Lytechinus pictus: one gene and its partner. The protein of the gene in region 1 interacts with the protein of each later gene in a pairwise test. Links are inferred from orthologs where the notes say so. Each region holds a gene or a part of one and is shown on either strand. Other genes may lie near its edges.

Evidence for each region.
Region 2: the proteins of microfibrillar-associated protein 1-like (region 1) and KATNB1-like protein 1 interact in binary tests that used the Homo sapiens proteins (3 or more experiments, as listed by UniProt). The link is inferred for Lytechinus pictus from reciprocal best matches to the Homo sapiens genes MFAP1 and KATNBL1.

What each region holds. Positions count from the first base shown.
Region 1 is NC_087250.1:22,583,552-22,590,747, reverse strand, and holds the start of microfibrillar-associated protein 1-like, read right to left. Parts: upstream 3,009-7,196; coding exon 2,998-3,008; intron 1-2,997. UniProt on the Homo sapiens protein: Involved in pre-mRNA splicing as a component of the spliceosome.
Region 2 is NC_087251.1:16,893,778-16,901,681, forward strand, and holds the start of KATNB1-like protein 1, read right to left. Parts: upstream 3,019-7,904; 5' UTR 2,730-3,018; intron 1,282-2,729; 5' UTR 1,255-1,281; coding exon 1,153-1,254; intron 1-1,152.

The sequences.
Region 1 (7,196 bases):
AAGTTCAAATTAAAGCTAAATGAACGTAGTTGCAGTAAAACACTGATTTCGTGAGAAAGTCTGTAAAACCAAGGTAATGTATTGACAGGGTTGTTGATTTTTTTGATTTTTTTAAAAAAATCAAAAAAATTTGATTTTTTTTTATTTAAATCGGATTTTTATGATTTAAATCAGATTTTTTTGATTTTTTTCCAACGAAAAATAATGGTCACACTTAACAAGTTTTAAACTATATTTAAACTGTTTTACACCAATAATAGTGGTCAAGTAGTCTTTTGAACATTGTGTATTGTACTATTTGACACAATAATCCACTTATATACAGGTAATTTTTTTTTTTTTTTTTAATTTATTTGCATTATAGAGAGGGAAATTTTATGGAAGCCCAAGTAATGTTATGTATTATGTATACATTTAAACTCTTGAAATTTTTATATCAGTCAGTTCAAAACATCCGAAGTGTTACTCCAATGCATGAAGTACTCAAAGAACTTTAGAATTTCCAACAAAATTGACATTATTAAAGGCCTGTTAGGGTTCCTATACTGCCCTTGGGAATTCTAGCTGGGAATATTTCCTAGAATTATCACATGGGGGATTTTAGCTAGGAATATTTCCTAAAACTATCACATGGGGGACTTCCCAACTATCAGCTGGTAATAGCTAATAAACAAGGGTTTTGCAGCTTTTGTGATGCATGAATAAGCATGTCTGGAAGAAAATCAGACCCCATTTGGTACTTTTTTGAGAAACTGCCATCAAAATCTGCAACTGGATGCAGAGCAAAGTGCAAACTATGTGGTTTTGAGTTGATGGGGATTGTGAAGCGGATGAAAACACACCATGAAAAGTGCAATGTACACATATGCCTTCAACTTAAGTAATTTAAAGAATGGGTATTAATAGTAACAAGAAGGAGGTACATACAAGTAGTTCAGCTGTTTTGTAATAGTATCCAAGTTGTGGACTTTGAGCACCTTTGTAGATTTTATATATTATTTTATTGAAGATTTAACAGTTTGGTGTACATACAGAGAGTTATTTATCATTACTTCGTTAGAAACTTGTTGTTTTCATCAGTTTTGCTTGTTTTACAATTTGAAAATAAAACAGTGGTGTTAAATCAGACTCCATGAGGGTGTATCATTCTTTTAAAGTATCTCTAAAGCATGTGGAACAGAAATGAAAATGATTACATTGAAAGTATCTGTTAAGAAGAAGAGAAAATAGAGAAAACTAATTTTTTTCATAAAAGTTGATTTAAATCAGTGATTTTTTTGAAAAAAATCAAGTGATTTAAATCGCGATTTAAATCATGATTTAAATCGACATGATTTAAATCAAACAACCCTGTGTATTGATATATCATCGTGGATCTAAATCTGGTACAGTTACATAAACTGAACTTTGTGAAATCATAATATCTAGCTAAAAAACGATCACACTGAAGATCGCCAACACAGATAGGCACACGTGAGACAGTGTATTATTATTGCAGGAATAAAGACCCAACGGAAGTGACCGAATCCGCGCTTATTTCTCAGCAATTACACAATTTCTTCCAGAATCCTTTGGCACATATTTAATATTCATACAAACAGACACTTTGGTGATCATTATATTAAATTCTGTAGAAAGTCATTTTGAGATCGTTCCCACAACTGGAATTTATCTTTAATCTTCCTATGCTCGTTAAATTGGCAACAATCATGAATTTCCTATTCATTATACTTCGAACATGAAATATGGAAATATGACACGAGTCTAAATCAATTATGAAGGGATACATGTATTGAAGAGTTGCCAATTTGCATTTTTAAATTGTGATTTTATCATGTTGCCAATTTTGAGTGGGTAATGATTAATTCAAAATACTTGGCTTTAATCAGGAACAGCATCACATACAGTTTCTGGAATGGTATCAATTTTTAAAGTACTCTTTCATCTTTCCAACCATATGCAATTTGTACTTGCTAGCAAGCTGGTTGAGAAAATGCAAAAGTATCTCCTAAATTAGACAAGGGTTAATCATCTTCCAATTAATCTTTTTGGCCCGAATTCACAAAGGTGGACTAAAGTTATACCCGGGGTATAAAACGCGTCATTTGACGTCATTTTAATCCATGGACTAAAGTTAGCACCTAGGGGCTAACTTTTGCGATTCACAAAGGTCGACTAAAGTTATACCGGGGTATAAAACGCGTCATTTGACGTCACGACTTAGTCAGCTCTTTGGGGTGGACTAAATCGGTGGGTTAAAGTTAGTCCACTGTTTTAACCAATCAGAGAGCAGCATTTCGATTGCGGAAAAGTTTGCTGCATGCAAGAAAAAAGTTTTTTGGACAGAGACGAGATTTGGTGTGATCGGCTTATCTAAAGCTTCATATTTCACGACTTCCACCGAGATTGTAAGTAAATTACATAATTTTTGGAGCTTAAATCATGACGGAGCCTTCAGTTCCATCTGTAACTATTATTGATAGCTTTAACTTTCCAAAAAGTATACTCGAAAACTTGAAATGGTATCTGAATCGGTCTGAATCATTGTTATCGTCGCGTCTCTAAGCTGCTCAGTCCCAGCCATGTACTTTTGTGTGCGTTCATATCTATGAGCAGTGCAGTGCAGTGCGAGACGCAATTAGCGTACACTACACAGGCAAGGTAGGCGTGATTGAAAGGCCGATACTACTACTAGTTATGCCAGGCAGTGATTTTGAGTGATTCTCGATTTCGTGTGATTTTCATGAAATTTTTGTTGTCTACGATACCCCTGCCACTTCTCCTGGCTCTGCCAACACAATCTACTGTGCATCTAATTTTGCCTAAAGCAAGGCCAAGGCAAGGCCAGGACTCCTGGCAGGATAGCAGCAATACAAATTACAATTACAAATAATTTTTTTTTAAACACTAACGTTACAAATACAGAGCCGGTATAGACATTCTACTCTGGGCTGGCTTTGCCTTGGCTTGGATAGATGGTCAAGCTATGAAGCTTACCTGGTAGCCATGTTAGAGTTAGTCCTACAACATCGTTGGAGTAAAAAAAAATATTATAATAAGGGTCACCTCTCTAGTAAGACTAAGGCTCGTTCGTAGGATGAGTGGACTAAGCCCTGATTAAATTATTTTTGGAAATTAAAAAAAAAAAAGATTGGGTTCCACTCACCGCTGTTTACTCCAACAGCTATAAATGAGCTGATTTTACTTTTACTAAAACTAAGTTTTACTGACCTTCGGCATCGCATTTGCGATCACTTATACTAGATTTACGGTGTCGTCAAAACATTACAAAATAATGGAAATCCTAGGCCTTATTAATAATTTGAGTAGATCTAACTGAGGTCTAACTTTGAAAATTCTCTCTTTTGGGGGTTATTTTCTCTACCCCACCCTCTTTGTTTCAAGTATTTTTTTTTTCACAAGGTGTCCTTTCAATGTTAAATTCACATGAGACCACAGACAAGTGCATTTGATCTTAAGTCCTCTACATTTGTAGTAGACCGATAAATAGGTTTATTTCTGTCAGAGATATGCTCCCCTGAGACTTCATGTGGCTCCGCAGCATCCCCTCCCACAAAAAAAAAATCAGAAAATGTTACAAGACTCCTCTGAAACAGCGGATTTTATCAATCTACATTTGTAGCTGCTTTATTATTTTTTTTTATACTTTGACATTGCAGTATGATTGATGAATGAATATTTTTTTCATTATTTTTTTTTCTTCCATATCAGCAACAGACCATACATACTCGGCAGATTGTGATCAATCAAGACAAGGCAAACATGGCTCACAATTTTGAACTGCTGTGCCGTCTTGCAAGAGAGTGAGGTATGCCTTATCAATTCATATTTAAAAAAAATTAAATGTCATTAAAATGGCCTTCTTAAATAAAATATTATTTCCGGGATTTGAATTCATCATGTAATTGTAAATGTATCATGTGACATGTATGTTACTTTTTCATTCTTGTCATAGTAATTGACAAAAAAGAAGAGGGGGGGGGACCTTGCTTGTGTGTTATTAACATATATATTTGTCTACTGGTCACTAGCTTTTTTTTTAAGGCTTGTTGATCTCCAATTAATCCTGACATTTTGTTGAATATTTATTTAAAAGAGAGAAAGAAAACATTGTCAGTCTGATGAATGCCGGGGGGGGGGGGGGTAGAAAAAAAGGTTTAATGAGACTTTGATGAAGATTCATGAAAATATGTTATTCGAAAATCACTCGCAAGCAATAACCTCTATTTGTGTAAACAAAGTTCCATAAAATTAGTGCCTTGCCTTCTTTATTAAAGCCAATTGAAAGTGATTCAGTTAATCAGTTTTCATAGAAGCATCTCTAAGACGTGCGTGGTTTGATCAATGATGATGATCAGCAACAATTGGCAGGTTTTTCTTCTTCACTTTTACAAGTAGGTAAATAGAAAAGCTACTCATGTCAATTAGAATTTTTATCCTATCTTTTTTTAAGGATTTCTGTATAATCTTTCACATTCTGTTCCTCATTTTAAACACTTTTGAATTAAATGAAATTCAAAGAGTAAATTGCCCATTCATGGTGACTCTTCAACACAATCTTCCAACTTCCATGCAGATTCAGCAACACATAGAAAGACCACAGCATGGATTAAGAGACAGGAAGAATCCATTTGAATACTACGAGGATGAACCTCTCAGAGTGGGGTACCAACAGAGAGAACCACACATTGCCTGTCATGTTACAGGTTTTGACAGGACTTTCTTTTATGTCATTGGTGAGTTTTCATGTGCAAACTATAAAGCAGAGGGTAATGGGGGGGGGGGGTCAAATTATGTTCTATGAAAGTGATTTTCCAGGCCAAAAATGATGAGATTTTGATAAAGAACAATTCGACTAGCAAAAACCATCAATATTGGATGGAGAATTATGAATTGATTCAGTTTTAAAGTTTTACATAACTTGGGGGAAACAGTTCTGTGTATCTCATATGCAATATTCATATCCCCACTTGTTCTCTAGTGATCTGAAATTATAATCATTAATTTTTTCCTCCAGGAATGTAAAAATGGGGTTGACTGCTGATTATATATTTAAGATAGTTATTGCGAGTTCAGAATAATGTAAGGATCAAGGATTGGAAGTATCTAGTCATGAAAATTAAGTTTCATGTTTTGCTTAGCATGCAGATTTTCCATTGAGTAATTGTCGCCAGAGCAAATATCATGGAACCCTTGTACATTCATGTGTGGAAAATGTGTGGATGTGACATCATCAGGCTATTTCTTGCATATTCATGAAAACATGCACATGTTTTACAGAAATAATTAATGCAAAACCTAATATTCATTATTAATCATCCAAATTGTACGATTTTTGTTTCTGCTTTCAGCCAGGAGTACTAGTAACCCCTTACATGGGAGGGGGAGTGTTGGGGGTATTTCACAGAAAGGTTTTTGTCGGAATGAAACACGTAACCCTTTGGGTTGGAAATAGGTGGGGATTTTATTTTTCTCTCATTTTTTACAATGTAGCAACATTTTTTAATACAAATATGTCATATTCAAGTGGGAAATTATCATGAAGGATGATTTATAACCACTCAAAAAGAAATATTGGTATGTCATTTCAGCTAGAGAGATATTCTCCATTTTGCATGGATTGTTATTGCAGTAGAGTTTTTTTTTTAATGAATCAAAGAAAAATCTCTTTAAGCAGTTCCAGTGCATCATAAACATCAGGTCATAACAGAAGCACAATGTTTGCAAACGTAAATGGTAAAGTATCAATTGGCTTTCATATCAATAAACCAATTACATAACATCACTTATCATTCGATAACTAAAGGTACCTTTTAGAAGATGCAAGCAGACAAAGCAACTATATCACAGTCATCCGTGTGCAGAATCATCAAAGATTTTTCTGAGGCAATAGCAAGGAGTAACAGTGAATAAAGTTTCCAATGACGAGAAATTCAAACCACCCAGCGACAATTTGATGATTGCTTCAGGTTTCCAAGAGTCATAGGTGCTATCGATTGGGGCCAATCCAGGCCATGTCTACATCAGGAGTCCTGATGGGGAACAAGCCCTGTACTTAGCAGGAAGAACAGGTCTTCTGTAAATGTATAGGTTGGTATACTCACTCAGTTTTCAATGTGATATTCTCTGTATTCAACACCTACTAGAGGTATGTGATAATGAAGAAAAAATATATTGGCCCCCTACTACATGTCTTTTACTGTCTTTTATCAAGTTTCAATGTTGTTGGTCAAATTTTTTTCTAATTTTATACTCTTAATATGTGAAATAAGACAATTTCAAAGATTTCACTGAAGAAAAAAAATATAGATAATCTGCTAACTTTCCTATTGCAGGAGAAATGAAAAATAGAAAAAAATGCATTTTGCTTATTCAGGTAAAGGATTTATTAATTGCTTGATCAACGAAGATATATTTCCAGAAAGAATACCGAAGAGCAAATTTTCTAATATTCATTTTGTTTTGATCCTTATTGCAGGTATCCGTTGCTCCTCTCTTTGATGAATTCCTGCCTGCATTCTGTTGTCAATAGAAAAGGACGGTGTGCTTCGGGTATTAAGCATTCCATTGGATTATCTGTGCATGAAAGTGGACACTTGTGATAAAAATATGGTAGCTTGGTTGATAGGATGTATTCATGCATTCCGATTTATCATTCGTGATCAAATGACCATCTTGCTTCTTAAATCCCAAAATCACAACATTTTTCTTGTTTGACAAAAGGTTTGGGACGTGAATTCCAGGATATAAATGACACACATGATGGGCTAATGTATAAGCAGGGACACGAGAGGTATAAGCAACATTTTTTTCGTTTAATTAAGTTTGGCATGAGATGGACTTGGTCTTTCTTATGATTCAGGTATATTTTATACCAATTTCGTTTTAATCAACAATCAATGTTTGAAGCCTCATGATTTCAATTTCAAAACCTCTTTGTTAACTAAACAGTCATTTTTCTTAGCATATGCAGCTTCTTAATTTATCAAATTTAAATTATAAAATATCATTTTTGCTGAACATCCTTTTTTTCAACCTATTTTTATAGGGCCTAAGATACATTTCTGTAGTAAGCACTATAAATACATTGCAAGCTATTATCATTTGTTTGATATTACTATTTTATAGAATCATCCTTTAATTTCTTTCAGAAATATATTTGACAAATTACTTGT
Region 2 (7,904 bases), on another chromosome or scaffold:
CCTGACTGAGACTTGTAGTTATGCCAAGCATCAAAATAAGACAGTTGATCATTCAATAAGTGATTTAATCTAGGATAATTGTAAGAATGAGTAGATAATGACATAAAATAATATTCAGTATGGTTGGAACTACCCCTTATCGACCACCTAATTTTCTAAGCATCGTATCTGCAAAAATATTTATCAGTTTAACCTAGTTTTCGTCTCATTTGTGCAGAAAATTAAGCAGATCAGATTCCCATGTTTTGATCAGTGACTCTGATTCAATTCGCGTATATATTGGCGAACAACGAATACGACGGTTTTACATTTGCTCATTTGCACCCTTCTTTTGAAACCGACCACCCGTGATACACTAAGTTTACGGCCGATTCTTGTCGCGGTGGCGAATCTTCCAAATCAGTTCTATGATGTCAACATGCTAAATGATCGTCTCACTACTTCCACTGCGAGCTCCGGCACATGATTCGACGATTGACGACGGATATTTGTTCTAAAGCCCTTCCTATCGGAAACGGGGCGGGTTCGGGTCTAGTCAAAACAATTTTGATAAATTCTACTAAATTTTTACCTTTCCCCCCTTCTTTTTCTCTTGTAAAATCAAATTTTACCGTTCCTATGGACACTGCGCCTACTCTCCCGCGCGTATCGTTTGTAATACGCAATAATTTAAATGCGCGTAAGGTGGTCAGTTTCAAAAGAGGTGGTTGATATGTGGTGGTCTCACTATATGTGTAAGACAAATAATCATCATACCATATTGACAAACAATCATCATACCATAACCATACATACTGAGACAATATAATATTTAATAGATAAAGGAGCTTCCCATCCCATTCATTGACACTACCAATACAATCATAAATCAAAATTAAGGGTGAAGTGATATACAAAACATTTCAGTGCTACTAAAAAGAATGGCTTTCATTTGGTGCTTTCCAATATTGTGTTTAGTTGGATTTCGGGGACAAAGGTAAGAGTAAGATTGCAATTCAAACTTGCTGACATACATCATACATGTAATGCTTTGAAATCAAGAATTGTTTGACCCATAAAAAAAAATTGGTGGAATTTGGCCTTTGTTCAAAATGTTCATTTCACAGAATTGGCTTCTGAATTGATAGTTTGATCAAGAAATATAATACCAACCTTTTTGATGTCATCTTTTGAGACCCAAATGTATTTGTTTTTGTTCCAGTCCCATTTGACGAATCCTCCTTCCTCATTAGGTCCCCTTGCTCTTGATGCCATCTCTGTTGATTTTTAGAAAATTAGTGTCTGTCACAAGAAAAAAAATCAAACAAACAAATGATCAGTATCAGAATGTGAACTACACCATGTATAGCTATACTATAGTATCCTCTTCTTTATATTTCAGTGGATATACTTGTCAACATTTCTCTTAGACAGCTGGCAGCCGTCTGTTTCGAGGAGTTTTGTAACATTTTTTTCCTTCTAATTTCTCCTCGTACACAGACGGCTCGCTATCGTGCAGCCACCATTAGGGGGTTAACAATGCAAAATTCCCCCGACGGGGCTCATCGATTTTCATAAAAATATATAAAAAGACCTGTACCAAAATAAAGATTATTATTCCGTTTTGGCCTGAAATGCACGAAAACGGGGAAAAATAAACTTAAAAGGGGAAAAAACAGTGACTTACTTAGGCTGTCGCGCAACTTCACTTCCCTGTTTTATCCAAACTTAATACATATGGCCATCGAGTCCCCTGTACAGATTGAGCTAGAACTTCGGTCTCTGTATTTGGTGAGTGGAGCCAACGGAGTTCAGCGGAACAACCAACATAACATTAGACCGAAGCGAGAACAAAATAGAAGATGATTACAACTATTGAATTCATATAGTGTAATCCGATCCAAAGACAAAAAAGAAGGCTTCAAAAATATAAAGTCAAGTGTCCGGACACCCGACCCCCATCGTACCACCGGTTGTTTTACTGACCTTCAAAGCGAGGGCAGGCAACGTATTAACCCAGGGAGCTCGCAAACTGGACCCTCAAAAAAGGAAAAGTTTTACCTCTGTCACATTCGTTCTCGGTATCGATCGGCCATTTTGTTTTCAATTTTGACAGAAGGAGAACGAACGAGACAGAACTTTTCCTTTTTTTGAGGGTCCAGTTTGTGCCTCGATGTCAGGATTTCTGTCTCACGATAGACCTTCATCCATATAATCGAGTTACCATAAGTGCATAATTTATTTTCCCCCTTATTTTGAGTGCTATTGCGACCCCAATCTACCCCATCTTGGAGAATATGTCTGTCTCCAGTATACTAACCTCGCATGTTGTGTGAGTGGTCTGTCTCGTATTACACGGACGACTCCAGGGGAGCGTTTCATGAAAGGACTTGTCGGACGTTTTATCCGACAAGTCCCATTTTATCCGACAGTTACCATAGGAACAGTGCCTCTCTGCCAATCAAAATCATGGAAAGATGTCAGATCTGACAACTTGTCGGATGAAAATATTGATGAAACGCTCCCCTGGGCTCCGGCCCGCTTCGCGTGCCCGAGCTCCCTGGGCCTGGCCCTGGGTTAGCAACGTACCAGCGCGGTGCGATGATAACGCCAGGTCCGGTCCGACTTACAAAATATTCATTCGAGATCTACCCAATCTCTAAATTCTAATCAAATTGTCGGAACATTACCAATAGGCAATAGACTCTACTTATTTGAAAATAAACTAGGCCTACAACACATTAACTTACCAAGTGCTAATCAAATGTTTCCACACCTTTGCTCTGGCTCTGCTCTGTACGAAACTTCGATCCGCACGAATCAATAAAATGTAAACAAACGTGTCGACAGTTCAAATCGTTATTGTTTGAGATCACGTTTTGATTGGTCAAAAATCCGCTCGATCGGTCTCGCCGAGCCTAACCCTAGCTCGGTTCGGCCGGCCTCTGTGCGGCCTCTAACAGCCAGCCGTGCTCCGTCTAAAAAAATTACTATTAAAGGCTTATTAAAATATGAAATAATCATGCTTTAATATGTTTATACATGAAGGCCACAATTAAAGAGCTAGTGTGTTGGATGAATAAAGGATTTTCATGATTTTGATATAGGCCTAGCTATTTTAGCATCGGATTAGCAGGTTTTTGAGCAAGTTCTCTGAACAAATTAAATCGAGATTTAAATTTCACCGATTGTACACTAAAATTCAAAGGTCATTCAATTTGTTATTTAGTTGTTTGATGATATGGTCTAGGTACTTTTTAGATTCGTGTGGCGTACATCTGACAATTTGTCGGACGAAAATATTGATGAAAAGGGATGATCATGACATGCCCAGATCTAGCGTAGAGCCTAGGGGCCGCATAGGGGATCACGCCCCTAATTTTGTGGCGGCGAGCCCCCCCCCCCCCTCTGTAAGGAAAAATTAAAAAAAAGAAAAAAGAAAGAGACTTCGCCTTACTTGACGTTTTTATGCGGCTCCCATTTCCATCTATAATTATTGCTTCATAACTCAGCCGTGATGAAAATAGTTATTTTCTCACACAAGTGGATTTACTAGAATGCCCTATGCCATGTTGCTTCTGAAAAAAACCACATTTTTTCTACACGCAGATCGTAACACGGCTATTTGGTAATGCCCAGATTGTATTTTCACTTCTAGTGTTCTCTTATCATTTTGGTTTTCGTCCACTTTTTCTGCGCCACATTTTCTTCAACAGCGCCAACTCTAATAGGCCTATATAGCACACAAAAAAGTTCTCCTCTACAGTGGCGTAACAGGCGGGGGGGGGGGGGGGCATCGGGCAATTAAGCTGCCCCCCTGGCGGATTTCACCGGGAAATTAAAAAAACCGGGAAAAAAAAGAAAAGGGAGGGAGAAAGAAAGGGAAAGGGGAAGGAAAGGGGAAAAGGAAAGGAGGAAAAGGCCCAAAAGGAAGGAAAGCGGGAAAAGGAACGAAAGAAGAACATTTGAGAAAGAACAAATCATTCCGAAATAGGCCTATGTAATGCAATAGCATGATGGGAAATAAATTAAAAGATGACAAAATGCATGGCAAACAATTAATAGCGGGGAATGAAGGTAGAATGGAATAGTCAAAAGCTAAATTGGAAAACAAAGAGAAAAAAAAACTTAATAACTCGACCGGGCTGCCGAGGATTGAAAATAAAGAGCGGGAAGAAAGATGGACTGCATACAACATTGAACTATAAGCTTGCTAAATTTTATGCAAATAAGGTACCGGGGATTTGCCCCAGACCCCATGGATCGAGTAGGGGCTCTCATCTGTAACCTTCAAATGGCTCTATAGGGGAGACCGGGGCTAGTTCGCCCCCTTTTTACTAAAGTCGCCGTATACAGTCCAAATTACAAGTCAACATAGTGCCCAAATGTCTTCATTTGATAGCTATGACTCTTTGCTAAATTACAGCATCACTTCAATCCTATCAGCTATCACTTTTTTTAGGAATTCAATGTTGAATGAAAATTTTCGAAGTAGGTGAACCTGCCCCGTGTTGGGGCAGGTTCACCTACCCCCCGGGTATAATTGCGCCTATGACGGGGCAAGTTTGCCAAAGAAATAAACTATACAATTTTATTCAATTCTGTAACTGCTTTATTAACAACAAACCAGAAAACTCGTTGTTCTTACATAGAACGAAAATAATTCAATTGAAAATTTCATAAATTGAAAATAAATCAAAATTAAAATTGAAAATACAAAATAAATAAATAAAAAGATACTGCTGACCAAACCTTCGTAAGGCTAAGCTTTAACCCACATTGCACTTGAATTTTAAGACCAGTCTTGAAGTAAGAGGTAACACTTTCTACTTCACGACGTCAGGCGGAATTCTCGCCCGTTCTGTTTTTCTGGCATAAATTATGTGCGTACCATCCTGAAAACAAAAAGTGTGCAAAATATTACTTCTTAATATATACATAAACGTCGCATCTTTAGGTCTCTTTCTCTCTCTCCTTAACATTTCCGGTTGCTATCTCATTTTGATTCTTATAATGATAATTGATGTCTTCTTTTGCTTTGTTTTGATGTTTATTCTTATAATGAAATGATTTCTGCATGTTATGCATTTTTATATGTATGTAGATAATAATGCAGAGCCCTGTGCCTGTGGAAGACCAGTGATTTTTTATCCATTTTAATTGTACATATTTGTGTAATTTAATATATTTAAGTATATTGAACTGAACAGGCTACTCTGGATAAAGATTTGAAATAAATAAATAAAAGCGCACAGCATATCTTATTTTCTATTTCCAGTAGAGACCGGGGTAAATTCGCCTCCTCCACGGGGCATGTTCACCTCCCCGGCGATCATGCCCCGTTGATAGACGGCGGACTAGCCTCACGGGTGCAAATCATGCTCAAGTGACTCTGTGTAAACAGGGGAGGCAGGGATAGGCAAATTACATTCGGGGATAAAAAGGGCACATATTTGCTTATCGGAAACTGGCATTGATAGCATGAAATTATCTAGGCATATAGTAGCATATACAATATTAAATAAGGACCAATTTTTCACTCACTTTGACGAAAATGATGAATTTCGAGATAGAATTTCAAATCTTCTTGAATGGCGAAAAAAATGTGGCTGGTGCGCGCAGCGTCGGTCACACGACATAGCGCAAATGCGTCGTTGACGTCACCGGTATAGATTATGAAAAAAACGAGGGTGGCGAACTTACCCTTACAAGTGCAAACTAGCCCCGGTCTCCCCTAACGCATAATTAGAATTTAATTTCAATAGGCAATTTTTTTTCCAGCTCGCTTCGCTCGCTGGCGACTTTTTACAAATTTTCCACATTGCTACGTTTTGCCCATATTTTGTTTCAACTGGGTTGAATAAATGTGTTGTGTAAAAGCTATATTCTGTATATACCCGCGATTTGATTGAAAATGGCGGCAATCTGCGAGGTTTAAATGGCTTTGATATAAAAAATTTCCGGGGGCTCTGCCCCGGACCCCAACCGCATAGCACTGCCGTACATGAGTATGGAATGGTTGGGCCATGGTCCCCAGAAGTTCTACAACCAAGAAAAAAAAAGGAGGAAAGAAAAGCAAAGGAAAAGTGTAGGATATGATTTATTTACTGAATATAATGTTAAAAAATATCTCGAAGTTAGATTCTCATGAAAAGGTGATTTTTTTTCTCGCTCGCTTATTTTTACTCTTCACGCTACTGCCGCAAAGAATCCTGTTGACAGTGGCGTACAGACCACAAAAAAGGAATGGAAAGAGAGAAGAGTGAAATATATTATTCTCTGGATATCATGTCAAAATCTGTCAAAAAATTGGATTTTTGTATTAAAAATGTCAAAATTTTTTGCTCGCTCGCAACTTTTTTTTAAAGATAAATTCTGCCTGATCCGCAATGTCTGGCCCTCTCAAAATCGTCGCCTCATTACACCTTATGCCTGTTCATACCATGATATGACCTGGACATTTTTGGCTCTTGCCCCCCTGGCCACCGACCCCTGTTACGCCGCTGCTCCTCTAATATTCCATACGATGTGGTTGACTCATCTCTCGACATGTCGACATTCAACGTTTCATAAGTCGACTTGGCAACATAACGAATGCCTATTATTTCGCCATTTTGAGATTTTACTTTTATATTAATCCCAGCGTACACTATGTTATCTGATGCGACGCGATTTTTTTTTTAGTAAATCGCATTTTGCATTAAATGTGAAAATTCCAAGAATTAAAATTATTTCATTTGAAGTTCGGCATAACTGTTAGGAATAAGAACATCATAATTATGGTTTGGGCAAGCCCTGTGGTCGGATTAAAGTCCAAATCGGTTTCAAGTCACAGCCGATGATGATGTCATTACGATTTGGATAATTTGCCTTTATTCCTATAGGCCTACAGGGAGGCTCAAACTATAGACTGAATTTCGATTTCGCTATCATTGGTCGGAGTCTTTGGTTTGAGTGTACATATCCATGCAGTGGCGTACCGTGGGTCACGGCATTGGGGGGCACCAGCTAAAATTTTGGGTCGCTTAGTGGGCGCGCGAAGCGCGCGAAATTGCCAGGTATACTAACCTTGTAGAGACATTTTAAGGACTGTGCCATTTAATGGATTTGTATCTCACTGATAAAATAATGCAAGCGCGAAGCGCGAGCTGAAATTTTTTATATTCAGACGTAAAAAAGGACTGACATAAGCAAATTTTTGTAATCATGGCACGTACCTGTCTCCCCAAACAAGCAATGCGAGCGCGAAGCGCGAGCTTCAATTTTTGTATAGGCCTATATTGACCCCAAACAGGACATTTTAAAGGGATGGTCCGGGCTGATTTTTGATAAATTTTTTATATTCAGACCGGAAAAGTGGACATTTTAGGAATTGTTTTTAGGAATTCATGAAGAGCAGACATATCTCACCAATTCACTAATGCGAACGTAAGCCCAGACTGGATATGTTTTATAAAGGGGGCAATCACTTTAGATATCTATGTAAAAGAAGCATATGTCACTACCAAAAATAACGATAACTCGAAGTGCGAGGAAATATATTTGGTGTATATTGACTTGAAAACGGGATGTTTTAGTACAGCAGGATTATAATATCTCATTAAACAGACAATGCGAGAACCAGGAATGATGAACACATATAGGCCCTAAGCAAATTATGTTTCATAAAGCTACGAAAAACATAATATAATGAAATTTCTTCTTCCCCACTATACGTTTCTCATTCTTTCTCCCTTTTTTCTCCTTTTCCTCTGTTTTTTTTTTTTTTTGGGGGGGGGGGGCACGTGCCCCCATGCCCCCAGTGGTTACGCCAATGTACATATCAAAATTTCTTTGAAATTCGGATCGCAACGAATCGCATAGTGTGCGCCGGGCTTTAATAAGTCGATTTAGCAAGGTATAATCTCATTTTGTCGACAAGACAA